Saccharomyces cerevisiae S288C: one gene and its partners. The gene in region 4 interacts genetically with the main gene of each other region. Each region holds a gene or a part of one and is shown on either strand. Other genes may lie near its edges. The genes, in order: CHM7, STT4, ERG11 and INO2.

Region 1 (6,656 bases), on a different chromosome or scaffold from region 4:
TGTAATTTACTTGGAAGTACCAGCAAAGCCATAGAACAGTATGTCAAATATTTTGAGTCACATTTATTCATCATCGTCAGAAAGATAAAAACAACTAAAAAAGACCTACCCAGAGATATGAAAATAAAGTATCTCAACGAAAATCTTCCTATATTGAGACTGAAGTTCGTTAACCTTCCCACATTTCCTAATTTTTTCGAAAGATCAATTTTCAGAAAGACGATCTTACAAAGTGATCAAAATTCCTCATTTATTAAGGATATATTACCTGTTTACAAAGACAGCCTCATGGAACTTTTCAAACAAAGAATCATAACAAATGTCTCACAAGAGGATGAAATGCGATACCGAGATCAATATCAACCCTATTTATCGCAATTCTTTCAGCCGGTAGAGGTTATGGCAGATCTGAGAATCAAATATGCATCGTTCTTGTCGTTTTATGAGAATATCGAGGCTGCTGTGAAGTTCGGGAAGACATACAATGAAAACAACAGCAAGTCATTTTTCCCACTTATCTTTGATAGAGAAAGAATTCCCAAAGTTTTTCAGCAATCCAACGAAGTAAAGAAAAATTTTGTCCTACCTCAAGAGATGGATGATACGTGGAACCAATTTCTCCGTAATTATCACGAGCAGAATAAAGTGGAAGATTCAGATGCTTCCAAAAAAGAGCTATATCCGATGTGGAACTTGCACCACTGCGAAGTGGAGTCGCCTTATATCATACAGGATGGAACTAACCTAATATTTGAATTGACCCTTTTCCAAACATGTGTGCTGACTTTATTCAACGAAAGCGATCATTTGACCTTGCAAGTTATATCAGAGCAAACGAAACTGGCGTACAAAGACTTAGCGCTAGTCTTAAAATCCTTCTGCAATTATAAAATTCTGACAAGAGATATTGACAACACATACAGTATCAACGAGAGCTTCAAACCTGATATGAAAAAAGTGAAAAATGGGAAACTACGTGTGGTTCTACCGAGAACCGCGTCTCTCCAAAGTAGCAACACAGGCGGTGAAAGAACCAGTTCTGCACACCACGAAGGAAGTAATTCCCAATGGACCCAAGAATTACTAAAGGCATGCATAACTAGATCCGTTAAGAGCGAGAGGAATGGGCTAGACTACGACCATTTATTTGAAACGGTAAAGCAGCAGATAAAAGGCTTTAGTGTTGGTGAGTTCAAAGACGCCTTGGCCAAGTTGTTACGAGACAAATTCATAACTAGGGACGAATCAACAGCAACTTACAAGTACTAAGACTGGTGCCATCTTATATATTACCTAACTACTGAGATAGTTTATAATCCGTACCAGCCCTAACTTTTTTTCCGACAGCATTTTATTTCCTTTCGTTTTTTTCGACTTCGTCGCTTTCTCCTCCATATAAAAAAACATCAAGAGATAAAAACTATCTTTCTTGTCCTTGTCCACGTTCAATACAACAGTTACACTGCAAACGACATTAGTGCAAATGCAAACTGTAGTCAATTTGCCGTATGCCTGACATACAACAGGTGTTGTATGAGTGTGACAAGGACACTTTATATATCTTTTTCAATCTCTCTATCCGGCCTTCTTGGCAGGATAGCTTTTCGTTTCAATTTGTTAATGATGATAACCAAAGATGCATAGTTCAACTGATTGAACATACTATCGAAATGAAGATAAAAATTTCCATCGAAATTAGTCTTTCGCTCCTATCTGAACATTACAAAAGAAACGAAAACTGTATTAGTAATATGCTTGTAATTGGAGAAGGGCCGAGGGGCGAGACCATTGTGGAGCGATTTTAAACCTCTTGCAGCACGAATCGTAACGGACCCAGCGCGTACTTTATTCTCCCTGTGCATTCGTGGAAGTTTTGAAACTCTTAAAAGTGGGCTCATCTGTCTGGTATTATCTGTGCCCCTGTTCTACATGTACTCGTGCTTTCTTTATTGCTTCTTTCGGTAACTCATCTTGCACATGCTATTCTTTTCGGAGTTAACGAAGCCAGGAGGAACCTTAATGGATTTACCTCTAGCGCGTCAACCCTAGAAGAGGGACTTTTTCCACATGAATAGTCAACTTTTAAGATTCGTTAGTAGTTGTATAGGGACATATATATGCACATATATATAATTATATACTTATACACTTGCTTACAGGGGACATTTTTGACCCTCAAAGGAAGTGAATTACAGGTATTGAATAACAGAAATGTACGAGATGTCAGGTATAGACAGCCTCTTTCATGATCGAGTTGTTCATGATTACTCTCATACTAGTGAGCAGGTTATCGTCGTTTACATTAGTTCAGCAGCCGGGGACAATTCTTGGCTTCATCAGTGGTTCAAACCAGGAAATCTTAGTGACGAGGAGCGCGAAAACATACTGTGGGTAAGGTTAGTAAATGGTACTAAAGAGTGCTTGCTTTTCAAGAGCATTTTCCCCTCCTCATCGGCGCCAAGCATTAACATATTACAGAACGGTCTACTCGAATGTTCTATCCAAGGTAATAGCCTTTCTCGTGAGCAGGATCCTTGGGAAACCTTTATCAATGGGTTACAATCAGTCTTTAAGGGTCAAGTAACAAAGAGGAAGTTATTTTCCAAGAGCAATGAAGAATATCAAAGAGTCAAAAGAATGATTCAGAACGACAAGTTGGAGAGGAAGTATGTTTTTCAAAATACTAATGACCCGCAAAGAAAGCCACAGAAGTGGAAGCAGTTGACAGTTACTGATAATGTTAGTTACAAGAGTCAAAAGGGGTTTCTCGCCCAGAACTACTGTACTCTACAATTGAAACTGCCCAATGGTTACACAATCTCTAATACTTTCCCTCCTCAAACAAAATTACACAAAGTAAGGATGTGGTTAGACTATAATTGCTACGATGATGGAACACCTTACCTTTTCCACAGAAATATACCAAGAGTGACTCTTACGCGAAATGACGAACTCAAAAGTTTGCAAGAGTTGGATCTGTTGCCCAGATCGACTCTCATCTTAGAACCGCTGGAAGCCAATAACAAAACATTCGACTACATGGAACAATCTTCTCTTCTACACAAGGTTTACTCAGGTTTGACATCTTTTTGGGCGAAAGAACCGGAAGTAGATGCTTCCTCCTCCCGTCTTGGTTACCAGAGGTTGGGCACAAATGTGTCAAACAGCGCCAACTACTCTTTACAAAAATTATCTAGCTTAGACATGGTGTCGGACGGGGGAGGAGGAGGTGGTGGTGATTCAATGACTCCTTCAGCATATACTACCCCAAGGATGTATCCTTCTAATGGTACTTCTCAATTGCGACAAAACGTGTCTGAACTAAACTTGTCTTCCAATAATTCTGCATCTAATACCAAAGTTCGTACATTAGGTTACTCTAATAATAACGGCAACAATTAAATGTGCTTTTGTTTATTTCCTATTTGGTTATTCACACATATTTTCTTTCTTCCGTCTATTAAAATATTCATATTTATTTTTTATTTATACATATATATTTATTTATTAGTCACTCAGTTCGTCAACGTGGTTGTTCTTCCATCATGATTTTTCTTATCTCATTATCGTGGTTTTCATTATCTTGCACAGGTCCTTCATTTGTATTTATCTTCAGATTATTCAATCTCTTTAATAGATCCTCGCTACTGCTTTCTTTTGGCTCGTGCAAATCCTGGTTCTTATTTTCTTCCTTATTATTATTCTTTTCATCAAGTTCTAATTGTTCTAATTCTCTTTCAATTTCTTCTTCTGCTTCTTCGTCTTGACCTTTATTATAATGAGCTAATAAATCATTGACCTCTTCGGTACGGTCATGACCCTCTTTAATCTCATCTAGTAAGTCTTCTACTTTTTCGGTAGAACCAATATATCCATTAATTGACTTAATTACTTCGTTGGATTCACTTAAAGTTTGAATTAAAACCGCATTAGTAGCACTGGTGTCTATTTGAGTTCTTACTTGAGCGAGGTTATTTTGAAACTTTAGTAACCTAGAAAGATGTTTTTCAGATAGTAATCTCGCCTGTTTATATTCAATCCTTATTCTCTTCGGCAGCTCATTAAACTCTGGTCCTCTCAGTTTAATGTTAGATTCATTAATTTCTTTTCTTAGCCTTGTAATTTGTTTGTTGATGTTTATAATACCCACTTTAACACTAGCAATTCGAAGGTCATTTTCTGTGATGCCTTTGGAGAACCTGCTAGTAATGTCTTCTACTTCAGCGGCAATGACTTTGATAACATTGTCTTTTGAAACTATTATGTGCTTATAATTCTCTATAAAGTGCAGGAACACGTTTTTCGTTTCTTCATCATAGGTTGAAAAGAACGACTGCAAACTTTCTGTGGTCACAAATTCATTCCTTGTGAATACTAAATCTGTAATAGATGAAGCCTCCATAAAAACACTTCTTTTGAGTAATTCATGAAACCTTTGATACTCTTTTTCCAAATTTGCTTTGATAATAAATTTGTCTTCTCTCAAGTAGAAATTTGTTTCATCCTTCCGGCTTTTATACATGTTTGTAGACTCCTTCCAACTTCTAACCCACTTCCAAAATCCTTTTCTACTGTTGTCAGTGTACATTCCACCAAGATTGAATAATTCCATAGGTATCAAATTTCCTTCATTAACAAGAACGTCAATTGCTATATCAATGCTTTTCGGTACGCCATAAACTTCATGAGTTAATTCTTGCAAAGTCCTTGTCCCTATAGTAAATATGATTCTGTTGGAGTTGCTGATGTATTGTTGCAAGAAGAAATCCCTCCATGTACTGATGTTTGCTTCGTACCCATCGGGATTTAAATCTTTCAATGGCCTAAAATCTCTATATAAAGATGGTAGTCTGGATTCTGGTAAATCTACTTTCATTCAGATACAGTGAGATACTATTTGGCTGGCTTTGGTGGTGTTTTGCCAGATATAGTTTAAGAATTTAAAACTCCTCTTATTGTCTCTACTAACGCTGCACTTCATTGAGTTGTATGGGTGTATCAATAGTGTGCTTGCCCAAACAAAAATGTTATTATATAATAAATGTTGATGAAATCTATTTGTTTATTATATATACCAATAAAAATACATAATTGTGTGTGATTAACTATAAATACAAAGAACCAGCAGATACGATATCTCTATGAATTAATTTCAAGACAGCTTCCATCTTCTCCTTAAGTGAAGAGTTACCAATGGTATTGGCGACGTCTACCAGCTCCTTCACCAATTCCTCTAATCTCTTGAACATTCTGATCAACGAACCTTCGTAAACGTCGGTCATTTTACAGATTTGCGTAAAAGTAGCTCCTCTACACCATTCGTAAACAACTTCCATTAGTTCATGTCTGAAGCTTTCAACGTAGTCCTTTTCTACAACTTCAATTTTAGAATCCTTCATTATCTTAGCGATCTTTGCTGCAATTTCTCTCATAGCCTTCAAAGGTTCGGCAAGCTCTGGTTTCAATCTAGGCGCTTCTTTACAGCGTTCTTGGAATGCAAAGCATGATAATAATGCTGCTGCTTGTTCCGGTTTCAACTCATTGAAATTACCATTGAAGATCAATTCTGTTAGTAACAGTTCATCACCACTAGATATTTCACATGCAACTCTACCTTTCAGTTCAATAATGTCATTAGGAGTACAAAATCCTAAACGGCGCAAAACTCTTTTACGGCGACGAAGATCGTCCAGTTGGATTACGGCTTGTGATTCTGAAATTTTGCGTTTCAATTGTTTCATATCTTCATGTAAATCGTGTTTTCTACTATATTTACCATATAGTTCTTCTAGTCTCATGGAATTGGTTAAGGGATTGGAGGATAACTTTGTGTTTAAAACGTCAATCTTCTTCATTAGCTTTAAAAAGTCCTCATCTTCGATCTTCATGTTTTTAACAGGATCCAGCACGGGAATACCATCCGGGAACCTCCGATTAACCTCCCTTAAAGACTTCCCAACAGTTTCTTTTTGACCGCTGGCTCTAATATCTTTGGGCATATATAGTCTCAAATTACCAATCGACTTGATTGAATCCAAAGTTATGGGAATAACAGCACATATGCTTTTTTCACCTTCTTCCGCTGGGCGAATCCCTTCTGGTAAGGTAGGGTTGAAAGGTTTCAACAAGTTGACTGGAGAGTCTATATACATGGTATTGACGACCACATTGACAATATAGGATTCATGGTCTGTATAGACAGCACTTGGGTTGCGTTTGTTAATTCTTTTAGCAAAATCGACAACAGCACCCCAGCCATAGTTATCCTTACCATTGACAGAGATTTCAACTAATCTGCCTGGTTGTAGGAAACTTAAGGCGTTTGCCGGATGGGTGACAACTTGACGAACATCTTCACGGTAACCTTTGATAGCCTGCTCAATCTCATGGTATTCTTTAACATTTTCTTCATCTTCGACTTCGATGCCATCAAAGTCTTTTTTCAGTTCAGCAAGTTTCTTTTCCATAACTGGTACTGAAATAACGTTTTGAAATTGGAAGAAAGAATGCTCCAACATAAACTCCGGAGAGATACCTTCAACTCTCATTAAGTTCAAAATCATATTATATCCTAAGTGAAAAGCCGAGTCTAGCCTATCTGCTTGGCCCTTAACCATTCCTTTAGCAACTTGAGGTTCCATTTTTTCATCAATCAT
Region 2 (10,916 bases), on a different chromosome or scaffold from region 4:
TTTCAAACCATGAGCAGCAGCATCCTTGACAATGGATGCTGAACGAGACATATCTTCATAAGAGGAATTGGTACAAGAACCGATCAAACCGACTCTGACATCCAATGGCCAGTTATTAGCAACAGCAACTTCCTTCATCTTAGAAACTGGAGTAGCCAAATCGGGGGTAAATGGCCCATTGATGTATGGTTCCAGAGTGTTCAAGTCAATTTCGACGACCTCATCGTATTCAGCATCCTTATCAGCAGATAATAGGTCCTTGTGGTATAATTTAGCAAAGTCAGCGATCTTACCACGACCAGTTGCTTCCAAATATTCAATCATAGATTTGTTGAATGGGAAAACAGATGTGGTAGCACCGATTTCAGCACCCATATTACAAATGGTACCCATACCAGTAGCGGAGAAGGTGTCAACACCATCACCGAAATATTCAACAATTTTACCAGTACCACCTTTGACAGTTGTGATACCAGCCAATTTCAAAATAATATCCTTTGGAGAAGTCCAACCGTTCATCTTACCAGTCAACTTAACACCTAAGATCTTTGGAGCCTTCAATTCCCATGGACGACCTGCCATAACATCAACGGCATCAGCACCACCAACACCAATAGCCAATTGACCTAAACCACCAGCATTTGGTGTATGGGAGTCAGTACCAATGATCAAAGCACCTGGGAAAGCGTAGTTTTCCAGAACAATTTGGTGAATGATACCGGAACCTGGCTTCCAGAAACCCATGTTATATTTCGCAGTGGCAGAGGCCAAGAAATCATAAACTTCCTTGTTTAGATCTATAGCTCTCTTCAAATCTTTTTCACCACCAACTTGTGCTTGAATCAAATGGTCACAGTGGACAGTGACTGGCTTAGCAACCTGTGGTAAACCAGCGGACATAAATTGTAAAATAGCCATTTGAGCAGTAGCATCTTGACAGGCAACACGATCTGGTCTTAATTTTAGGTATGAAACACCTCTCTGAATATCTTGACCATGAGGGTCATCCAAGTGACCGTACAAAATCTTTTCCGCGTAGGTAAATGGCCTGTTTAATCTTTTTCTTACGATATCCAGCGTTTCCACATTCTGCTTGTAGTTAATAAAAGAATGATCTTCTAATAAGTTTTGGTTGACTTTTGAATCTCTAGTCAAGTTGGAGACTGTCGCAAGACCACGAACAATGGGTCTCTTGATGGCAGAACGTGCAGACAGCATTGTATATCTATAGTAATAATGGTAGTATTTATTACCTTCGTTCTACTATGTAATAACTAAGAAAGAGTGAACAGAACAAGGGACAACGGAATTAAGCAACATACTCCTCCTAATTAACCTCTAAAACCGGAAGATTATATATATAACAAAAGATTTTCCTTGTCCTCCCTTTTTGTGCTTGCCTTTCCGAAAACCGGCAGCGATTGGAGGTTTGATGGTTAAAGTCGCCTGCGGAGAACAACTGAAGGGTTCAAATTTTTCTCGTATGCACTAATTTCTCTATTGATTGGTCAGGACCTTTGCCGATTTCGGCGCCGAAATGCTCGAAAAACAAAGGGTATTGCCCGGCCCCGCGGACCTCCCTTTTGCGGCTCTCGGCCATTTTTTAGGTAATTTGACACCGTGCCCAAATGGCTTGGCACAATCGAGAATCAGGCACCCGCGTGTGACCGGCGTCATTCATTAAAGCCAGATAAGACAAAGTAAAATACAATGGATTATGATTAATACAATGATATACAAAAAGAGAGAAAATAAACGAAGGCTACGTCTGCGTAATTGACGATGGGAAACTGGTATTTTTATATAAGCATATGTAAAGTGCGAAGTATATCAGTACGGAATGCCATTTGTGAGCCTTTGGAATTCATCATAACCTTTAGTGAATATACTTTCATAACTTTTACGGATTAGCGCCTTCATATATAGTGCAGCTTCGTGATCGGTTTTTTGAGGTTGAAATCTTGCTCTTAGATTCCTAATTGTCTTGTGACCCTTAAAGCAGGGGAGACCGCTTCCTAACATAGGATTTACACACTCAATTATGGCCTCCACGTGCGGACGGGCGGCTAGATATGCCTTGATACAAAGTTCTTCAAAGTCCAGATACGCTGGGGTCTGGGGCGAACCTCCCATCACTTTAACCATTTCTTTCGTCAGCTTGAATGGTACTGCTTCAAACTTGATACCACCTGGGACAATATCAAAAATAAACCCAAAATCGATATGTAGACAATGTCCTTGATCATCGTACATAATGTTACCATTATGTCTATCCTTGAATTGCAACAAATACGAAATTACGCTATATCCCGCTAAGGATTTAACAAAGTTGTTTCGTGCGTTTTGAAATTCGATAGTAGATTCATTACCAAATTTACTAGTGAAATATTCATATAATCCATTAACAGCTTCACGTCCTAACATATCACGGGATACCGAATTGGGTAGCACATCGATGACACCACAACCCGGTGCCGTCGCAGTAACTCTGTAGGGAAAAACGTAGACATCCAAGCCAATACTAGACCAAATGGTTCTAAATAGCGAGATCAATTGTAACGCTAGAACATCTTGCCTACAGTCATCACCGACTTTGAAGATAGCAGCTTGCCATTTTTCAACTTCCTTGTTTTTACCTGTCAAAGGATCTTTTACGTCTTTCTTTATTTTAAAGGTCGCCATAAAAGGCGCCTTTGCGTGAGATTGAAGTGGCTTACCACTCTTCCGATCAATATCAATAACTACACCGTCAGGATTAGAAGGTAAATAAACATCAGGTTTCACCTCAATTTTGCTCATTTCTTCATCGATCTTATGTTTCTTTTCAGCCTTACTTTTTTTTATGTATGGTTTCAACTTACCAGATATGCCAGTTACTTCGTCGAAGAATTCAAATTCACGTTCGTAAAAATCGCGATGAGATTGGCTGAAACTTGAAACCATACGCTCCCTAATACGATCTAGAGTTGGTTTGATTTCATCTTCTTGTATACCTTCATCATCCTTGTAGCAGTTTGCAAGCATATTCCAGATTATTTGATGAGAAAATAACACACTAATTTTCGCAGTATCCAAAATCAATCTTTCGACATATCCGGTTTTATCGTATCTCAAACATTGTACGATTTGAGGAACATAGAAGAATGCCAAGTTCACATCTTGTGATTCCAACGAATATATGCTGAATTGTAAGATAAAAGAATTACCTTGCCATTCGGGAAGGAAAAGGTTGATAGATTTTAACGGGCTCACTGGCGCCCAGTATAAGGTTGCGTGTAGGTCTTTCTTACTGCTCAGGTGGCTTCCTTTTATGAACAGGTCAAGAGCACTTGGGGACCCCACACACATTAAAGCATGTTTTGCAACTAAGCCCACTAAAACATCCTCAGCTTTCTTGCTATAACATCGTTGTAAGAGATTTATTGCTAATGTTGGATCTTTAGCAAAGGTAGCTTCAACGATATCGCTTGTAAGCTCGTTGCTGTCGGCTCCTTCAATCTTCTCAGTCGGAGTAAGCCAGGTTTGAATCTGCTGGATTTCGCTTGCCAAGAAATAGTTCAGGATCTTGTAATCTTTCCCGCAATGACGTGACATTAGCGAGCTTAATTTGTTGAGCTGAAGGAAAAGGTCCCTAGTAACAGATAAATCTGCTTTGATTTTCAGCTCATTTGAGCCGAATGGCCACGCTACTGGTCTTTTAAACCAACTTAGGGCACCGTTTGTGATTTCTTGCGACAAACGGCCCATATACTTGGATCCCTGCTTATAACTTGCGTTTAGTACGAGAGTCGCGAATAACAATAATTCGTGGCGAATCATTCTAGCGAACGGGTGTAGTGAAGCCTTATACAGATTCTTGATACCATAAAGCGCACATTTCGTGAAAATTTTCAATAAAAAGTCACTTTGAAATAGTGTGCCCTCGAAATGGGAAGCAAAAAATTTAATAACATGAAGATGTGGTTGCATAGCTTGGGATGCATTTTTTGCATCTCTGTTGATACCTGCTTTGTCGTAAGGGGAATATTCCATTTTTTGGTATTCTTCGCCCTTTAAGTCATGATCGCGAGAATAGAGACCAATATTGTCATCAATGGAGCGCATCCAGCAATAGCATACTTCAACTAAAAGCAAATGTGCAACTTCGGGCTTCTCAGTTATGATTGTTAACCATACGTTTGTAGCAATCTTTAAAGATGCAGAGGTGAAGACTTCGAACGGGATGTGCACAATATCATATATCAATGACGCTGGTGCACCATTGCCAAGAATTAACAACGCGGTAGCCATATCAAGAAAATCAGTTACGTCTTTAGTTATAATCTTATTTCCTAAGGTCAAATTTTTTCTTATGTTTTGAGTGGAAATACCTATTTGCCTTTTGATATCCTCTGGTGATGATGTAATAGCGGTATCGAAAAGATATTTTGACCTCCAAGAATGTAAAGATATAAATCCAGAAATCGTGTTAGGTTTCTCTGGACCATAATAAGTAAGCCTTGATAATTCCTTATCTGCAGGTAAAATCAAACCAGCCATATCCATGGCAAATGAGACACCAAATTCAACAGAATTTAGCCTGCTGTACTCACCGAGATCTGATATGTATGATTGCAACAAAATCTTAGTATCCTGGTTGCTTCTATTCAATAGAATTCTTACCCATTCTTTAGCTGACTTGTGCAATCTTGATAGTGTCGTAGCGCGCCAGGACGATGAGCTTGGAACCAATATTGTTGTCTTAGAATGTTTTAATTTAAATTCATACCGTGGTTCAAATTTATGCGCCTCTGAGTCCAAGATACTATCAAATAGGGCTGTTAACATATCTAATAAGGTGTAGAGAGACAAATGATGACATAACGATGATGGAATAGATCTGATAAATATTTCACAGGCATGAAAAGCGGCATCCTGCAAAGTTGGTTCCCTATGAGAAAGGCAAAGTAGCAAGTTATTAAGTTGTTGAGCAATCATTTTGGAGTTGAATATGGCATCGTTACCCTTTTGAATCAACCTAGCATATTTTCTAATCATGGAAACCGACAAAACTGCAATACACTTCTCAATTGAACCGGAAAGAATGGAGGGGTCTGAGAAGTACAGTAGAGTCTTCGAACAATCACCTGCCTCGCATCTTATCGTTTCTAGAAGAACGGCAGCCGCTAAAAACATGATTTTAGACGATGAAGTTGTTCTGTACTGAACAATATTGGTATTGAAATATTCGGTTATCTGCTGTTTTTGTTGTTTGATATTTTCGTTAGATGAACCGCGGCGCAAAATTGTATTCATTTCCAATGAAAGCTCCTTGTTATTAGCAGGAAATTCAGAAGCCAGCGGTGGTGAATTATAGGCAATAGTTAATAAGAAAGAAAAATTTCGTTTGACAATAGGCCCGCCCAAGTGGTACCCATGGATGACAAAATTAAACCAGGCGTTCCTAAACTTGTTTGTAGTGACTTCATCCTTATTGATGTCCAATGGCGTATCGCCTGGAACAGGTAGTAGAGCGGCGAGGGGCTCTAAGTAGGTAGCGATTTGATCAGCAACACGGGAAATCTCCGTTTGAGGTCTGTGATGTTCCAATCGTTCTACTTCCCCACTGGCAATGATTGAGTCCAATAGATCATGAAGATACATGAAATATAAGTCACTTGAAAAATGCCTGGCCAACAATTCTTTTGATATCACACATTTCGCTTTAATAATATTTTTCAATAGTGCGCTATCATCAATTTTTGTTGCAATAACAGTTCTCGATTTGAAGAACTTTAGTAAAAGCGAAAATTCTGTCAGTGAAGTATTCGGAGCCAGTCTTGCCAAAGAATTCAAAATAACACCGTCTAATTCCTTTGACATAGAATTAACTTTTTGCGTAAGAATAGAGATAGTCAAAGCTGTTATGCTTTGGGTGTTATAGTATGAGGCGATTGTAGTCGTTGCAGCCACACAATTAGATATCAAAGAGGCATGGTATGTCATAGTAGCTCCACTATTGACATCATGGGAGGAAAGTTGGCCCACAGTTGTATTTCCGAGCAGAGCACCAGTGCCATCCAAACTGGCAGATGAATTTCGCAAGGGAAAGTAGTCTTTCTCAATATTTTTTCCAGATGTTATTGTTAATTGGCGCTCACGGAGCACCGGGACGGGCGATCCGTCCTCGGAAACAGCTAATAAGTTGTTCATGGAATAAATTGTACTCACAATTGCATCTTCATTTAGAGGGTATAACCCTGTGGTGAATATTTTTGCAACATCATTAACTGTTTCAGTCGTGATATGTGGAGACGCTACCAATAAAGGAAACATACGAATCAGAGTTAATGACAATTTTTCCGTGAAAAAATTCAGTAATGAGGCAGAAGCTACAATTGCTTTTATCAAAGATGGTGTAACGACATCAGATAAGAAAAATTTATCAATAGATTCAGAAACAACGTTTGTAAAACTTTCAAAAAGCTCGCTTTCTGTATCTTCTATAAACGGAATTAAACATAGCGTTTGTAGGTAGTGGGCTCGAGTATCAAAAGAAAATCTTGCACGGTTGTCTGTAGATAGGTCGAGAATATGTGACTCAGAACAAAATTGCAGGGAAATTTTACACATGTCTGTAAAAAACTGTTTATTGCTTCTTACGTTGAAAAAAAAGTCATCAATACACTTCGTATCATCGTTTTCATCGGCTACTTCTTGATCAAATTTGTAAAATTGGTATTGTTGATTTAGTAAGAACTCACTCAAGTTGGCGCCGACATGTGAAGTGTTTAACAGATGAGATATTAGCGAAACTTGCAAGCGAGATATTAATTCCAATAAGTAGGCACTGGATAGCTCATTTCCAGCATCGTAATACTGGACGATTGAATCATTGGTAAACGTTGCTGAGGAATTCAAAATCTTATCAACTTCGTTTAGAAATGATCCACGAAGCACAAGTTTCGCTAACTTTTTCCAGGTGAATTTAGTAAGCTCTGTAGAGTTGGGAAACTGGATAAATGCATTAATAAAGCCCACTAATGATAGTAGACCAGATTGTTTAATAGTAAAAATCTTTAATACACGCTCAAAATAAGTTGAAATGATGCCGCCTATATTTTCATAAAGAACGGGATACTGTTCACAAGCTTGAATCATAAACTTAGTCAGCTGGAAAGTTAGCAATTCAATCGGATTTCTCATCTGTTCCAACTTGAATTTCGAGGACAGAACATCTGAAATTCTTTGTCTTGGAGTTTCCAGAAAATAAGGCGCAATTATTTCTTTAAGCATTGTCTCTACCAGATCGAGCGTGGTAGGGATTGCAACACAAAGCGAAGTTAGTACTTCCCATTCACTCAATGTAAGTGGTATAGTATATATCTTTGACGTATTTGTGGAATAAAAAATAGGCAATGTATGAGTTATCAAATCTAATGTTGTACCATTACTGTTTTGATCATTTGGTGCACCCGTCGAAAGTTTAGTTAGTCTTCCAATAGCTTTCGCTCTTAAAGATGAAGAGGCTTTCAATCCTCTGGTAAATCTCATCTGCCTTAAACGAGTGGCGTTTTCGATTGCTGTAGTTATCTTTTTGTGATCTAATTTTTTTCTTGATTTACAATAGTTATTAATGTTGAATATGTTTTTTCCCACAACTCAAACATCTTCGCAGTATTCTTGAAAAAAAAAAATACTATTAACGTACCTTCATCCCTGCGCGTGCCGTTTGATGATATCAGCCAAAAGGTAAAATGAGATGAAAAAGGCCAATCATTCATAAATGTACTTAGAGACATTAAAGAATCAGTTAGAGAATATAAAACAAGATAATAAAAATGGTACGTAGATGCAACTATATCTTTCCGTTTCTCATTGGCGGTTTTTAGCGATCGAAAATACTAACATAATCTTTTTGGGGGGTGAGAATGTATATGTGTACTGGATATGTATATTCTTGGCTTTATTCAAATAGTTGAAATTACGCCAATTACAAAAGAAAAAGCAAAAAGAAAATGAAAACAGCAGTTCTATTCAGCCTAATTTATCGGCAGCAAGAATTCGTTTGAAAAGGGACCTTGATTCGCTGGACCTCCCACCAACAGTGACTTTGAATGTAATAACATCACCAGATAGTGCGGATAGATCACAATCGCCGAAATTGGAGGTAATTGTTAGGCCTGATGAAGGATATTATAATTATGGATCTATTAATTTCAATTTGGATTTTAACGAAGTTTATCCGATTGAACCACCAAAAGTTGTATGTTTGAAGAAGATCTTTCATCCAAATATCGATTTAAAGGGGAACGTTTGCCTAAATATTCTTCGAGAAGACTGGTCGCCAGCTCTAGATTTGCAGAGTATTATAACCGGGCTTCTTTTCTTGTTCTTGGAGCCTAATCCCAATGACCCGTTAAACAAGGATGCAGCAAAGTTACTGTGTGAGGGTGAGAAAGAATTTGCTGAAGCTGTGAGATTGACCATGTCTGGAGGTTCAATTGAACATGTCAAATATGATAACATAGTTTCTCCTTGAGTCAAGTTCAGAGTAATTTTCGGTTGATTTGATTATATATAAACAATAAAATTATAGATAATTGTGACATACTAGGCGAGTTGTCGCCTTGGTAACATCTTGCTACCGCCATCTTCTGTTAGTTTACGCCTTATGACCAACATTCCTTATATTCTCGTTCAAACTTTTGTCTCGATATTTTGCAGGTACCTGTAGAACTTAATGTGTTCTATTCAAAATAAGTATAAAATTTCTGGCCAGTAAAGGCAAACAAAACATAAAGATATTAATACGAAAAATTTCTTGAAGAAAACAAAAAATACTTCTTATAATAAAGAAACAGCGAAGCCATGGCTATTGACAAGATAATCAGGAAGGTGAGATACCCTGGATAGAAGACTAAGAGAGAGCAGGAAGTTGAAGAACGCAATCTCAGCTATCGCTAATTCTTACAAAAAATAAAGATATTACAACTATGGAAGAAAAAAATGAATGACTATACTAGTTAGTAATATTTAACAAGATAACGCTTTCTATTTTCTGTAAAAAAAATTCTGTCTCATGCACTTGGAAGCAGCTTCAACATTTCTCTTTTCCAGATGTCACATTTTCCGGACCGGCCGTCATTCAATCGCAATTAAAAGAGAAAAATACCAACAAGTGGGTTGATTTACTTTTGTGTTTTCAAAAAGACCAATAGTTCTAACAAAGTAGATGCTTAGAAGTAAGCAAAGTGGAATATAGAGAAACAAAATTAAGTGATAGATTTACTTTTACACAAGAAAAGAGATGAAAATTTTCAATACAATACAATCTGTGCTGTTCGCAGCATTTTTTCTAAAACAGGGAAATTGCCTTGCGTCAAATGGGAGTACCGCATTGATGGGGGAAGTAGATATGCAAACGCCCTTTCCAGAGTGGTTAACAGAATTTACTAATCTTACACAATGGCCTGGAATTGACCCACCTTATATTCCGCTAGATTACATAAATCTTACTGAAGTGCCAGAATTAGATAGGTACTATCCTGGCCAGTGTCCCAAAATTTCTAGAGAGCAGTGCTCATTTGACTGCTATAACTGCATCGATGTTGATGATGTAACTTCGTGTTTCAAACTTTCCCAAACATTTGACGACGGTCCGGCCCCGGCGACAGAGGCATTGCTCAAGAAATTGAGACAAAGAACCACTTTTTTTGTTCTGGGGATAAACACTGTTAATTATCCTGATATATATGAGCATATTTTAGAGAGGGGTCATTTGATTGGTACACACACGTGGTCACATGAATTCTTGCCAAGTTTATCAAACGAAGAAATTGTAGCCCAAATTGAATGGTCAATTTGGGCTATGAATGCCACAGGCAAACATTTCCCCAAGTATTTTAGGCCTCCATACGGTGCAATTGATAATAGGGTTAGAGCTATAGTAAAACAGTTTGGCCTAACGGTTGTCTTGTGGGATCTCGATACTTTTGATTGGAAATTAATCACTAATGATGATTTCAGAACAGAGGAAGAAATACTTATGGACATAAATACTTGGAAGGGAAAACGGAAAGGTTTGATCTTAGAGCACGATGGTGCACGAAGAACAGTTGAGGTTGCTATTAAAATCAACGAACTTATTGGTAGTGACCAATTGACAATTGCAGAATGTATTGGTGATACAGACTACATCGAACGCTACGACTAGAAGTAAGATTTCCGAGAAATAAAGTTTCTCTCTATATATCTTTGATCTCTTATTTAATTATTCAACTCGCAAAAATAAAAAGAATATTTTGTTATTTCAAAAGTAAAAAAGTATGTATTAGAATAGAGGACATATATAAAAATCATATATATCGATGCTTGAATGTATAAGGAAAAGCGTCAAATTATGAACGGTAGGTACTTAGGATGCTGATGTCACATAAAGTCAGAGGGTATAACTTTAAAAAGTAATTTTTTAGAATCTTTTAGCGTCAAAACGTTACACGTACATTTGAACAGTGTTAAGAGTAGATTAATTCAAATTATACTTTTACGTGCTCCGATACAGTCTCTACCTCTTCGTTGTCAGTGCAAATAACAATTGGCTTATCATGAACTGTTCTTGGAGATGGAGAATATCCTTTCAGACTCGTAATATTGATGACGGTAGTTATTCTGCGACATTGAGTAGTACTAGCATCCCTTATAACCGGAATAGTTGTTGATGTAGGTGAACTTTTTGGGACATAACACTTGGCAGTTGTTTGCAAATTTTTTGTGATCATTGATATGTTTCTTAGTGACATTTTTGATGCTATTGTTTTTATAGTGTAATTGCTATGAGTTTATTTTGTTGACAAGTATACTTGGCTGTCTTTTTTATATAATAACGAAAATGTGTAGTGGAAAAGCAGGTGTGTTTTGTCTTATATCTTACAAAC
Region 3 (6,721 bases), on a different chromosome or scaffold from region 4:
ATTTTTTGATAATAGCATTTCGCAAGAATTGCGATGCCATACTTCTGGGGGGTTTAGCAGAAGAGATACCTACAAAACACATTTGAAATCTAGACATTTCACTTACCCAGAAGGTGTTAAGCCTCAGGACCGTAATAAATCACCTGGAGTGTGCACTCAATGTGGGGAACACTTTAGCACTAGTGAGAGCTGGGTGGAAAACCACATTGAGGCTGGGAGTTGCAAAGGTTTACCAGAAGGCTATTCAGAGGGAATACGAGAGAAGAAAAAGACGTCTAAAATGAAAATGATAAAGACTTCGGATGGCCAAACAAGGTTCATCTCATCCGACGAAAGTGTTTCCGAACCAGCTTTACAAAATAAGAATTGTATAGAAGCGACAGTAATGCAGTCCAAGGAACGCCCTAATGACAAGATCATACCAACCAAAACCGAAAAAAACGATTTTGGAATAGGCACTCAATGGTTTGAACGCAAACAAATATCAAGACCTACACAAACTACACAATCAAGAGGACCTACAGAAGTCCAAAATCTCAAAGAGTGGTCAATAATATCTCCCCCAATTTTGTCACCCCAAAATGCATCTTCTGTACCACAAGAGTATCAATCATCAAGATACACATTGCATATGGATTCTCCAGCATTATCCTCTGCCTCCTCAGCGCTATCTCCACTTTCAGGCGATCCAATAACAACTACAGAAACAAATAAGTCATACCCATTGGATTCAGAGCAATCGTTGTTGGAGCCAGACAAAACCGAGGAGGACGCAATCAATCAGTCAAAGGAAAGCAATATGATTTCCATTAATGAGATGTTACAGAAGCAAATGGACTTTGAACTTCTGGGTGAGAATCATTTGAAGGAGACTCAAGATTATCTGGCCCTTTACAAAAAAGCTTATGGGATAGAATTTTAAGGTTAATTCAGGTATTATTTTTATGGCGGTTTCAGGTATTTTACGTAATATTATTATTATATCATTTTTGTAGCAATATATTATTTTTAGCGGTGCTTTATAAAACAATGGATACTAAGGATGGTTCAATTCACTCATCATTTGGATTTATCACTATAAAAAGCAGTAATGAATCTTATATACATTTATTTCAGTGAATCCATATTTAAGAGAGCTTCCTCAGTGACCCCTCCCCAAAACTCCTCTCCTCCTGGGCCCTCTCTTGATTAATTTAAATTGCAAAAAGATTTACAAGTTTGCGAAAAGACTGCTTTATTTCCGCTTGGCCTGTGAGCTGTGTGTTCTCTCTTCTAATCCAGTAGGCATGTTGCATAAATAAACCTTATATTTGATGTTGTTTTAGAAATGTAATCTATATATAATTTCGTAGTATAAATATTTATAAATAAAGAAGTGAAACCATACCACTCATAAATAATGCGGGATGGTTGTCCAAGTTTGAAAGTAACTAAAGAACATAACTCGATGTCATATCAAACGTACTGGCAAATAAAATAAATCATTGGAGATGGATGAGTGTGGCGATAAGGCCCACGTGAATGTACAACTTCTCTCTTTTTCTGTTTTTTTTTTTTTTCTCAGTTACAAACCTTAGATCTTTTGTTCTGGATTTCTCTTTTCCCAGATGATCTTGGCTGGACCGGTTGGAAGAGTAACCATAGATGTAAAGTCAGGAGGTGGAACGGTCTTACCCTCTGGGTAATGCCATTTTAATGTTCTGATAAAAATGGACATTAGAACACCTAGCTGACAGTAAGCAAAGTGTTCACCGATACATCTGTGTCTACCACCACCGAAAGGTAAGTATGGAGAGCTGACACCCTTAGAAATGGCACCGAAACCGTAATCGACTTCTTCACCGACGGAATAAGAGGAGGCAGAATCTTTGTTCCAACGGTGAATGTTGAATTGGTGAGCATTAGGGAAGTATTCGTCTCTTAAATGAGTGTAACCTGGAGAAACCAAAACGTGATAACCTGCTGGGATGACATAAGAAGTGTTTGGAACGTGCATATCTTTCATAACCTTACGGAACAAAGAGTGCAATGGATGGTGCATTCTTAGAGTTTCCTTAATAGTTTGGTTCAACAATGGCATTTCTTGTAATAAATCGTAGGTCAATTCCTTCTTACCACCATCCAAAACACGCATTTGTTCTTCGTACAATTCTTGTTGGACATCTGGTCTTTCAGCCAAGTGCAACAAAATCCAAGCAGAAGTGGCAGCAGAAGTATGTTGACCACCCATTAAGACACCAATTAACAAGTTAGCGATTTCTTGATCAGTCATCTTCACACCATCCTTGTAGGTAGAGTTCTTCATCAAGGAATCGATCAAATCTCTGTCTTGAATGTCGTTGTTCTTTCTTCTTTCCTTAATCAAAGACATGTAAGTACCGGAGATAGCCTTTTGAGCGTGATCTCTCTTTCTATAGTGTTCCAATGGTAAGTTAGGGAAGACGAAGTTGATTGGAGTGAAACCCTTATCCAAATCACTGTACAAGTAAGCAAAATCGGTATCCAATTTTGCTCTCATTTCCTTACCCAATAATGATCTTGAAGCGGTGAAAATAGTCATTTCAGGTTGAGTAACCATCACGTCAATAGTACCAGTAGTTCTTTCATTCAAACGGAAGTTTTTGGAGTCTCTGAAGTACTTGTACACTTCTTCAGCAATCAATGGAACGTAGCTCTTGAAGGCTTCTTTGGTTAGAGCACCCTTAACAAACTTCTTTTGCTCCATCAATCTAGAATTTGGACAATCGTAAATAACACCTTTACCGAAAACTGGAGTAGTCAAATGAGCGTAAGCAGCTTCTGCTGAAACATCTGCCAACTTAGCGTTGAAGACAAATTCGTGACCCTTTGGTCCTAAATACACAGTCATGACTCTTCCTAACAAAACGAATGAAAAAATATCACCGTATTTCTTTTGACATTCTTCGAAAAACTCGTATGGCTTCATACCGTACACAACAGCACTACCGACCCATGGAATCCAGTAAAACACTAGAGGTGGACGGTCCTTTCTCAAAGAATATAGTAATTGCCATACAATATTGTAAATGAAAGGAATTATTATGATCAAAGAGATTCTTTGGGCCAATGGTAAAGCCAAGAAATGACTTAAACCAATGTTTACGTATTCCAATGCCTCTCCAACGATTGACTTGGTAGCAGACATCCTTGTATTACTCGTTTGTTCTGTTTCTATTCAAGCCTGCTGCAATTGTGAAGGAAAAAAAATTTTTTCTGGAAACTATTAATTAATATAATGAAAAATTATTACTTCCTATCGAAAATACACACGCTGAACGATACTGCTTATCAATCTTTTTATAAATAATTTACCAATAACGAAAAGGGAAAAAGGAAAAGGGAAAAAAAAAAAGACATTGAAAGAGAGAATTAAGAGGGAATAAGAAAACTAAGGGAAAATACGCTATCTTATATAATGAATACACATGGAGGGCAATTTTTAGAGGCTTTTCGAATACATGCGAGTACGTAAACGTCGTTAACTCGTGGAGATGCACAATAGGATGTGCTCATACCAAGAAAAAAAAAAAATTCAGGCATAAAATCGATGTCTCCTGCAAGATACCTACCACACTTATTGTGTTCTGCAAGAGACTATTGTCATCTGAAAAGCGATTATCTTGAAATCTTAGTTTCGTTTCGTTTCGTTTAGGGCCAGCGCTTCGTTTGTCTCGTTTTTCGTGGATTATCGGCCTTTAAGATTGTCCAACCCGGCAAATCTTGCACGCACATTGTATGTGCGCTGCTCGTATAGTATCCACTTCGTGTGACATTACTATAATCGTACGGCTTAGTCGGGAATAAAGGCTGGCCTCATTTTCGTACAGAGACATTTTGCCGGAAATTTCGTATTTTGCTGTGCCCCCGGTAATTCCCGGGCGCGGCACAAAACCTCTCTAAACAACCGCCCATTGTTGCAATTGTTCGTCTGTACGGGACAGGCGGCGATCATAACGTCGCACGGTGCACAGCAATTGCCGTTTTCGGAGATCTCCCTGAGTAAGCAGTCGTTTACGACCTTAATGGCTTTACAATTATCGGTTGGAACAATAACAAGAACAATTGGTTCTCTGCCTGGTGGTGAGTTAATCTGGTGGGAATGTAGTGCACAGGCGCGAGTAACGTAGGAAGCGAGAGAGAACAAGGAAAAAGAAAAAGTGGAGGAAGGTTGGTTGTATTGTCTTTTTCGGTTCTTTTCTTTTCTTTTTTTCTTTTTTTACGATGCATGTATATGTATTTTAATAGTAAAATATATTATTAAATAGGGGAGTGTGGTTGTGTGATTTAGTAGAGTAGTTAGAATAAAAACGACACAGTGGAAAAAAAAAGGTATTTTCTTTCTTTCTTTCTTCAGATCTTGCCAGCATCGAATCTTCTGGATGCTTCTTTCCAGTTGACCACATTCCAAATGGCTTTGAAGTAGTCGGCTTTCTTGTTTTGGTACTGCAAGTAGTAGGCGTGTTCCCAGGCGTCAATGGCAACTAGAGGAACTAGTGGGCCTGTGACGGTATCCTGGTTGTAGGTTTGAACAACGTCCAGCTTGCCTCCATTAGAGAGGTTTTTCACAATGAAGGCCCATCCGGAGCCCTGCACGCCTGCTAGCTTTGTGTTGGTCAACTTAATCAGCTCGTCCAGACTGCCAAACTGCTCGTCGATTGCCTTTGCCAAAGCGCCGGTGGGTGGTTCACCACCGCCCTGCGACTCTGGAGCCAGGTTTTCCCAGAATAGACAGTGGTTTGTGAAACCACCGCCATGGAACTTGATGTTTTGTTGGATAGCAATCATTTTTCTTGCGTTTGCGGGAGAGGGCTCCTTGGCCAGAAGATCTGAGAGTTCTTGGAATTGGTCAACAGCAGTGTTGAATCCGTTCACATAAGTTTGATGGTGCTTGGTGTAATGCAATTCGTTGATTTGACCGGAGATATAAGGTTCCAATGCACCGAAGTCCCACTTCAAGTCTGGCAAGGTGACTTTGGTTCTCCTTGCTGTGGTGGAGAGCAATGACAAACCACCCTTCTTGGTTAAATTAGCAGCTGCTGTTTTCGCGAACATCCTGGTACGTTTTTAGGAGGTATAGTTATCAATTGGGGTTTCGTTCCTGTAGCAGCAAGTGAAAAGCAATCGCTGTAGCTAGCTTGTATATTTTGGGGATGCAACGCTCTTATATACAAGTTATAGCTTCTTCATCAGGGGTGTCTGCTACGGTCGCGGAAATTTTTCGGCACATCCCTACTTTTTTTTTTGCGAAGCTAGTGGTTCGGCCTGTGTTATTGGTCCAGGTTTAAGGTCGCGCCAACAATGATAATAGCAATTAGTAATCAGCTCAACCTCAAGTAGAATACTACACGTGCAATCGGTAGCATGCGCAAGGGCAAACAGGATAGACGCCAAGAGAGAAAGAGAAAGAGAGAGAGAGAGAGAAAAAAAAAAAAGAAATATATAGATTTAGGTATTCGTTAAATATATACACATTAAATGGCCTCAGAAATTTTAAATATATAAATAAATAAGCTCTTATATGTACAAATTTGTGCATATACTTTTCTTGACCTTTTTACTCCTCGGCTTGATTAAGAAAGGATGGTGGCGTCGAAATATAACTTTGGATCCAAACTTGAGATTTCCGCAGAGGTTGCTTCGCCATCAAGGAGAATCTCAGCCATTAATTTACCTGTTGCTGGCGCATTGTTAATACCCCAACAAGAATGTCCACTTGCAATATAAAGATCCTTGACATTTGTCTCACCAATTAAGGGACCAGAACTTGTAGGAACGTTTAAAACTGGCAAAAAACAGGCTTGTTTCCGCAAGAGATGGCCCTTTGATAGAGTTGGCGATAATTTGGATACGTAATGGTACAATTCATCACACTTCTCCGAAACTACCTCCACATCGTCCGAACTTTCAGGTATATTGACTAAAGTGTCGCCTTCGCCGCACACATAAACTTCATCTTTTCTAGCATACATTTCAGGGGAGAAAAATTCACGGTCGTTAACTTTTAGTTCAGCAAGAATAGCGTAAGGTGAAACTGTCTTTTCACTAGGCTTAATGGTGACAGAGTGGGCTCTCAATCCAGAAATTGGACAATCTTTTAGAATCTTGGAAGTCCAGGGTCCCATACTCAAAACAATCTGCTGGATGTCATTGATTTCAATGGGCTTCGCGTTCTCATCGTTGAAGATTGTACCCAGCTTAATGTCTGGATTTTCTGCATGCCCTCTGCTATTTCTGCGATTCTTGACGACAGATGGAAGGTACTTAAGAGAATGAACACAATCCATCTCGTCACACTTTAGCCCAACTACCTTACCTAGGAGAAGATCGACAGCACCTGTTTCCATTGCCTTCGATAAGATGAAATGGGTGAATTTATAGGGATGAAGCTGCGCTGTGGTATCAGTACCACCTAGTGATGACCAATCATTAACCAATTCTCTTCTTATCCAATCTAAATCAGCAGGCAAAGGATTATGGATATTAGTCTCTCTCAGTTGCTCCACGGGACTTACAGAGTCAAGATCAGATGCGCTATTTGTGTGGCTTCTCATGCGCTCATTTGTTAGAGAGTGTAAACTGGGTACTGAGCTAGAAACATGAATGTCTGATCCTTCTTCCTCGTTACTAGCGGAGTCGTTTTTCAAAGAAGAGCCCGAAGAACTCAAAGATGAATTAGAGTCCCCGATGTTAAACTTGTTGG
Region 4 (6,355 bases):
ACGGAAACGCGCCAAACATAACAGAGAGTTTTGAAGACCCAACTCGGGCATATCATCCAATGATTTCCATATATTACTTGACTTCTGAGATGCTTGATAGGAAACATGCGAAAATTCGGAATCAACAACAGCGACAGAGCCACGAAAATATAGAAAAGCTTTCTGAAATACCGGAAAGTGTGAAGCAAAGGGACGTAGAGGTCAATACAACCGCTATGAAATCAGAGCCAGAAGCCACGTTGGCGACAAAAGATACCTCTGTGCCATTCACTCCAAAGAATAGCGATGGCACAGAGCCCCCCTTACATGTCTTAATTCCACCGAGGTTAGCAATGCCAGAACAAGCGCATACGTCACCAACGAGTAGAAAAAGTTCTGATAATCAACGCCGTGAAATGGAATATGCTCTCTCTCCAACTCCTCAGGGAAATGACTATCAACAATTTAGGGTACCTTCAACTACTGGCGATCCCTCAGAAAAGGCGAAGTTTGGGAATATATTTAGAAAATTATCACAGCGCCGTAAAAAGACCATTGAACAGACATCTGTTAATAGTAATAATAGTATCAATAAACCTGTGCAAAAGACGCATTCTCGCGCTGTTTCAGACTTTGTCCCTGGTTTTGCTAAACCGAGTTATGATTCAAATTATACCATGAATGAGCCTGTCAAGACAAACGATAGCAGAGGTGGCAATAAAGGTGACTTTCCAGCATTGCCTGCGGATGCAGAAAATATGGTAGAGAAGCAAAGGGAGAAGCAAATTGAAGAAGATATAATGAAATTGCATGATATTAATAAACAGAATAATGAAGTTGCAAAAGGAAGCGGGCGGGAAGCTTACGCTGCACAGAAGTTTGAAGGAAGCGACGACGACGAGAATCATCCCTTACCACCTCTCAATGTTGCAAAAGGTCGAAAACTACATCCAAGCGCAAGAGCTAAATCAGTTGGTCATGCTCGTCGTGAATCACTCAAATATATGAGACCCCCAATGCCTTCATCTGCCTATCCTCAGCAAGAGCTTATAGATACTGGGTTCTTAGAATCAAGTGACGATAACAAATCCGATAGTTTGGGAAATGTTACTTCACAGACGAATGATAGCGTCAGCGTGCATTCTGTGAACGCACACATAAACTCGCCATCTGTGGAGAAGGAATTAACAGATGAAGAGATATTGCAGGAAGCTTCTAGAGCTCCAGCCGGTTCTATGCCATCCATCGATTTCCCCCGTTCTTTATTTTTGAAGGGTTTCTTTTCTGTTCAGACAACTTCATCGAAGCCTTTGCCAATTGTTAGATACAAGATTATGTTTGTTCTGAGGAAAATGAATATAGAGTTCAAGGAGGTTAAGGGTGGTTTTGTTTGTATGCAAAGGTTCTCTTCCAATAATGTGGCAGCGAAGAGAGAAGGGACTCCAAGATCGATCATGCCACTTTCGCACCACGAATCCATTAGACGTCAAGGCTCTAATAAATACTCACCTTCTTCTCCTTTGACAACTAATTCCATTCACCAGAGAAAAACATCTATTACCGAAACCTATGGAGATGATAAGCATTCGGGAACATCTTTGGAGAACATCCACCAACAAGGTGACGGTAGCGAAGGCATGACTACAACAGAAAAAGAGCCCATCAAATTCGAAATTCATATCGTCAAGGTTCGTATTGTTGGTTTAGCCGGTGTGCATTTTAAGAAAATTTCTGGGAACACTTGGTTGTATAAAGAGCTGGCTTCTAGTATATTAAAAGAACTAAAGTTGTAAGTAACACGTTCCCTGAGAAACCACAGCTTACATTTTTGATATTCGAAAACAAGAATATCCGTTCGATAGAAATTTATATATATATATAGATTCTTTTTATTCTCTTTTGGAAAGAAGAAATAGAATGGACCTAAGCAGACACTCAGCAGTTAATATTTTCGTCCCTTAATTGGTATTATTTATAAATAAATGGCACGTACTTTATGTGTAAAGCAGTTCATCATCGATTGATGGAGAGAATTTGTATACGTAGAGCGATCATTGCACCGTTTACCAGGACAGGATTCATATGGATGTAATAGGACTATTACTTCACTGAATCAATACAACTCGTAACGGTCATATAACTGCGAGTTTGTACGCAGTTATTCTGTTTGTGAAGACAGATTATACTTCGCCGTTGAAAGATTTCTTTACTTCACCATCATTGCCTCCGGATTCTCTTAACTTCTAAATAAAATGAAGATACTGGTAATTCTTGTCCGCAAAAATCTACGCTACACTCTGGAAAGAAACGAGATTTTCTACCGTCTGGTTTATAATGAATATATTTACATGACCAGCTTTGCAATCATATGATATTTTCGCCCATGTATACGAAATTAACTAAAAATACATCCAACGGGAGGCCATTTTCATCACTAATAGCTTGTATGAGCTCAGGAATCATCCAGTATGTGCTGTAGTGCTTCATTTGCGCTTCTAATGGACTTGATATCGTTCATTACACAAGTTAAAAGAATATGCTTGGGAATTCTTTTCCCGTTTTCCTTCGGTGGGGTCCTTACTGATTTAATGAGCCTTTCAAAGGCTTCTTTGGTGTTTATTCTTCGTATCTTCTCCATTTGAACGTGTTTCCATTTCCGTACCTTCACAGGGTCGTCCTCGATATTGGCTGGAATATCAGAGTCTGGGATTCGTATCTCAGGTACTGAAAACGGTGGCGGGTTGTAGTGGTCATTGCCGATAGGCTGATGAGGTCCTTCCCTCGTGGTGAACTCAGTTGGCACATCTGCTGTGTTTGTGGGTAACTCCCCTGTGTTACTGTGTGGATGTGTTTCAGGATATCTTTGATTTAATTCGGTATACCTATGCTGCTTTTTTGGTGATCTTATATGTAGATGTGATTCGGAGTTCATGGAAGCGTTGGAAGACATCATATCCTGTGATATTAGATTGTCTAAAAACTGTTCAATGGCATTCGATTCATTCGTGCTCAACAACCCCGAACTGGAAGGAGACAACTTGAGACCAAGCGCTTGATCAAAACCCATGCTTGGTTGATGAGGGTTGTGATTTAGATAGTGTGCATGAGTATGCAAAGGAGCATGATGAGTTTGGTTATCGGCAGGTATAGTTTCTACGTGAGAGGGTTGCACGGTTGCTACGTTAGGAATTATGCCGAGCTCGTGTGTTAACAGAGGAGGGGAAGTTGCACTAAACGTGTTTTCATGTATGTGCGCAGACATTTGGTCGTCGAAGTTACTGCTGAGCATTTGGTAAGCAGTTTCAAAGTCTATATCGTTATCCAGATCTAGGATACCCAGTAATTCGTTCCCAGTTGCTTGTTGCATTTTCTCCTTTGCTGTTCCATGTATTTATTTATTGCACGTCAACGAGATGGAACCGAACCAATTTCGAATTGCTTATGACGCCAAATACTGATTACAATAAGATATGATGAGATGAGCCTTTAATCACTGAAAAAAATTCACATGTGTGTTGTACTTGGACAGGTGTCAACGCCCTGCCGATGACGGAGGGAGATAGAAAACCGGCGAATTTTTTACCTCCTGCTGAAAAAAGGTTAGGTTGGTTCCATCTGCCGCACTATGGAGGGTGATTCAACGGAAAAGGCGCAGGAAGTGCAGTAGTGACCGGCAAGCAGCATGTTGAAAGACATTGTTGGGAAATCCTGTTTGAGTCCTGGTGTGTCTTCATTCTCCTACCATTTGTAGCTGGCGTAGATTTGGTTTGAGTGTGGTTGGTTAATTCATATTAAGCGTTGAGATTATAATAATAGAAATAATGGAAGAGGCACTCGATCCATATTATCAAGGATTCAAAGTAACTCAGATCTGCAGTAAAGGAGAGATGCGACTGAGAACAAATTCCTTTGCAATGGCATCGGCAATGGCACAATATGGAACTTTTTCTTGTACTGTTGAAAAACAGCACGCTGCAGTTGCATCAGGGTTGTTTTAAGTTGTTGTAGTAATCTCGCGACCTGAGACATCCTTGAAGCGGTGCCTGCGAAGTCTTAGTGAAGAGTTTAAGATTAGAAGTATATAGCATCGAAGGGATGGCCCAACTGAAGCAGGTTCCTCTGCTTGTTTCTCAGCTTATATAAAGGATGGATTGCGTATGTATACATGTGCATTTGTGCGTACGTCATTTTTCGATAGAGTCAGCTTAAGTACATGCGTATAGGTATGGAAGAGCTTAGAAGGGCGCTGGCGCTGCTAAATGGTCAAGGATATGAGTTTATGGTGTTCATAAAGGAAAAAGACCATTTAATAAGTGAGTCAATTCCAAAAAACTTGTTCTCAGAGAGTTTTATATCATCTTCAATTGAAAAAAACCCTCCACTCACGTTCGATCCATTGGTAAATAGGAAAAGAATAACTGTTTATGAAGAAAATATCCAACCAGCGATCATGCTACCCTTAGATCAACCCCTACTAATACAGAATTATCTGTATACGGCTTTTAAATTATTAAGACAGGTCCCATGCAAGGCGATTGCTAAGTTGTGGATAAAAATTATTGAGCCAAGGAAGAAAACCAGGTTTCCATACATTAAAGGCAATGCTGGAAGGCCGGAATGGTGGCCAAAAGATGTAGAACATAAAGAGCCGGACCACCTCCAGAAAGCGGATCGACTGAAATTGATGTGCACGATAATTATGAATGTTCTACCGCAATCTCCCTTCAGCCTTGAGATTTTGGACGAGCTTACAGGAGTGACCGCCGCAATGACCATTTTTAAGAAAGAAACTGTGAAGAAAGTAATCATGAAAAATGTTTTCGAAATTGCGAAATGCTTGTGCAACAAAGATTTCAAGCAGAAGACCATATCACTTGATGATTTAAATGACCTAGCCCAAAAACAGAAAAAATCATACCATAGTCGTCGATTTGATGTAAATAAAATGGTTAAGGTAGAAAAAGATTTGTTACAACAGTCAAGTGGAAGCGATTCTTCACCCTCGATGATCCTTCCTTCAAAAGAAAGTGACACAGAGTATTTCCCCAGGGAATATCCGAAAGACCCTGTATCGGAGGATTATTCGAATAGCATATCTCGATTAGAAAATTTAGTGGAATTTGATCCGTTATTCCTCACTAAATTGGATGAATTAACTAGTAGCGATGATTGTAAAGATTTTATTTGAGAAAAATTTCAAAGCAAAGAAAAGAGGTGTGAGGAGCGCAAAAGCAAAAAGGGGGATAGCATACATTAACACATTTTTTGGCTCTTTGCTACTTGATTTGGTTGCTATCAAGGCGATTTAGTTTCGTCTGATAAGAAGGACACTATAGATTGGTTGAATGATTCTGGGTTATCTAAAAAAAGATTGTGACCGGAAGAAGGTATTTCTAAATAACTTGCTCCTTCTAGACAGTTCTTTAAATTGTTCAACTCTTTGACCATGAACATACCGGCTTTTTTATTCATCCAATCATATTGCCCATATACTATCAATAATTTCTTAACATTTAAATATTGCAGAGAATCCATCAAGGGGTCCTTTGCTAGGATACATCTTGAAAATAACGCTTTGAAAATATCTGTCGTAACCTCCGGTATACCTCCCTTACCGTAAAACAGTTCAAATATGTACTCTTTGTATGCCAACGATGGGACTCGGCTATATGCCGCCATTATGTAATTCCAACATAACTTAGCTCCTAATGGTCCCATCATTCTCAAAATGTGAAATTGTTGTTCAAATAAGTATTTTGGAATCATATTTCTTTTGGAGTAAAACTTGGAATTTGGATTTTTAAAATCGATAGTATAAAGAGTGTTGGAGTGGAAATTATTATTTACAGACCAGATATTCCTTTCCACTCCTAGTGGGGATACCAAGCAAAGTTTGTTTACCGAGTTTGGATATTTAACAGCATATTTAAAAGATAAATATCCGCCAAAAGAATGCCCCACAACATTCATTTTGCCCAATTTGTTATCAATGCGCCATTGCTCGATTCTGTCGAGATAGAAATCTTCGTACATTTGAATCACAAATTTATTGTGATTTGCATTTATTGTATATGGAACCTTAAATTTATTTTCTCCAATAAATTTGATATCTAACGGCAGAGGTGTTGTTGTATTGATCTCTAAAGACGGTACTGAAGACAATCCGCTCGCTGGCATGTCAATTGAGTATAAATTTCGGATGTGCTTGGACAGACCTGGATAATTTCTGAAAAAAGACATTGAAGATGCGGCATAGCCATGTATCAGCAATGTTGGTGTTCGAACAGTACTTGTGTTTTCATTTTGGAAATGCCATTGATTTATTTCGTTGAATAACTTATCATTCTTTTTAATACCTTCAACGTGTACCTCTTCC

Evidence for each region.
Region 1: mutations in INO2 (region 4) and CHM7 together harm fitness more than expected from each alone (negative genetic interaction), as found in Saccharomyces cerevisiae (2 studies listed by BioGRID).
Region 2: mutations in INO2 (region 4) and STT4 together harm fitness more than expected from each alone (negative genetic interaction), as found in Saccharomyces cerevisiae (3 studies listed by BioGRID, with this or other methods).
Region 3: mutations in INO2 (region 4) and ERG11 together harm fitness more than expected from each alone (negative genetic interaction), as found in Saccharomyces cerevisiae (2 studies listed by BioGRID).

What each region holds. Positions count from the first base shown.
Region 1 is NC_001142.9:344,193-350,848, reverse strand, and holds CHM7 (phosphatidic acid-binding protein CHM7), read right to left. Parts: upstream 4,877-6,656; coding exon 3,524-4,876; downstream 1-3,523. Other genes in the region: cullin RTT101, read left to right, coding at 1-1,269; YJL047C-A (uncharacterized protein), read left to right, coding at 1,671-1,805; UBX6 (Ubx6p), read left to right, coding at 2,212-3,402; ATP-dependent RNA helicase MTR4, read right to left, coding at 5,106-6,656.
Region 2 is NC_001144.5:736,331-747,246, forward strand, and holds STT4 (1-phosphatidylinositol 4-kinase STT4), read right to left. Parts: upstream 7,534-10,916; coding exon 1,831-7,533; downstream 1-1,830. Other genes in the region: aconitate hydratase ACO1, read right to left, coding at 1-1,218; NEDD8-conjugating protein UBC12, read left to right, coding at 7,821-7,823, 7,958-8,521; chitin deacetylase CDA1, read left to right, coding at 9,290-10,195; DPA10 (Dpa10p), read right to left, coding at 10,518-10,781. UniProt on the Saccharomyces cerevisiae protein: Acts on phosphatidylinositol (PI) in the first committed step in the production of the second messenger inositol 1,4,5,-trisphosphate. STT4 functions in PKC1 protein kinase pathway.
Region 3 is NC_001140.6:118,518-125,238, forward strand, and holds ERG11 (sterol 14-demethylase), read right to left. Parts: upstream 3,167-6,721; coding exon 1,574-3,166; downstream 1-1,573. Other genes in the region: STP2 (Stp2p), read left to right, coding at 1-922; YHR007C-A (uncharacterized protein), read right to left, coding at 4,033-4,248; superoxide dismutase SOD2, read right to left, coding at 4,372-5,073; TDA3 (Tda3p), read right to left, coding at 5,592-6,721. UniProt on the Saccharomyces cerevisiae protein: Sterol 14alpha-demethylase that plays a critical role in the third module of ergosterol biosynthesis pathway, being ergosterol the major sterol component in fungal membranes that participates in a variety of functions.
Region 4 is NC_001136.10:696,123-702,477, forward strand, and holds INO2 (Ino2p), read right to left. Parts: upstream 3,347-6,355; coding exon 2,432-3,346; downstream 1-2,431. Other genes in the region: serine/threonine protein kinase KIN1, read left to right, coding at 1-1,772; YDR124W (uncharacterized protein), read left to right, coding at 4,193-5,167; ECM18 (alpha/beta hydrolase family protein), read right to left, coding at 5,275-6,355. UniProt on the Saccharomyces cerevisiae protein: Positive regulatory factor required for depression of the coregulated phospholipid biosynthetic enzymes. Also involved in the expression of ITR1.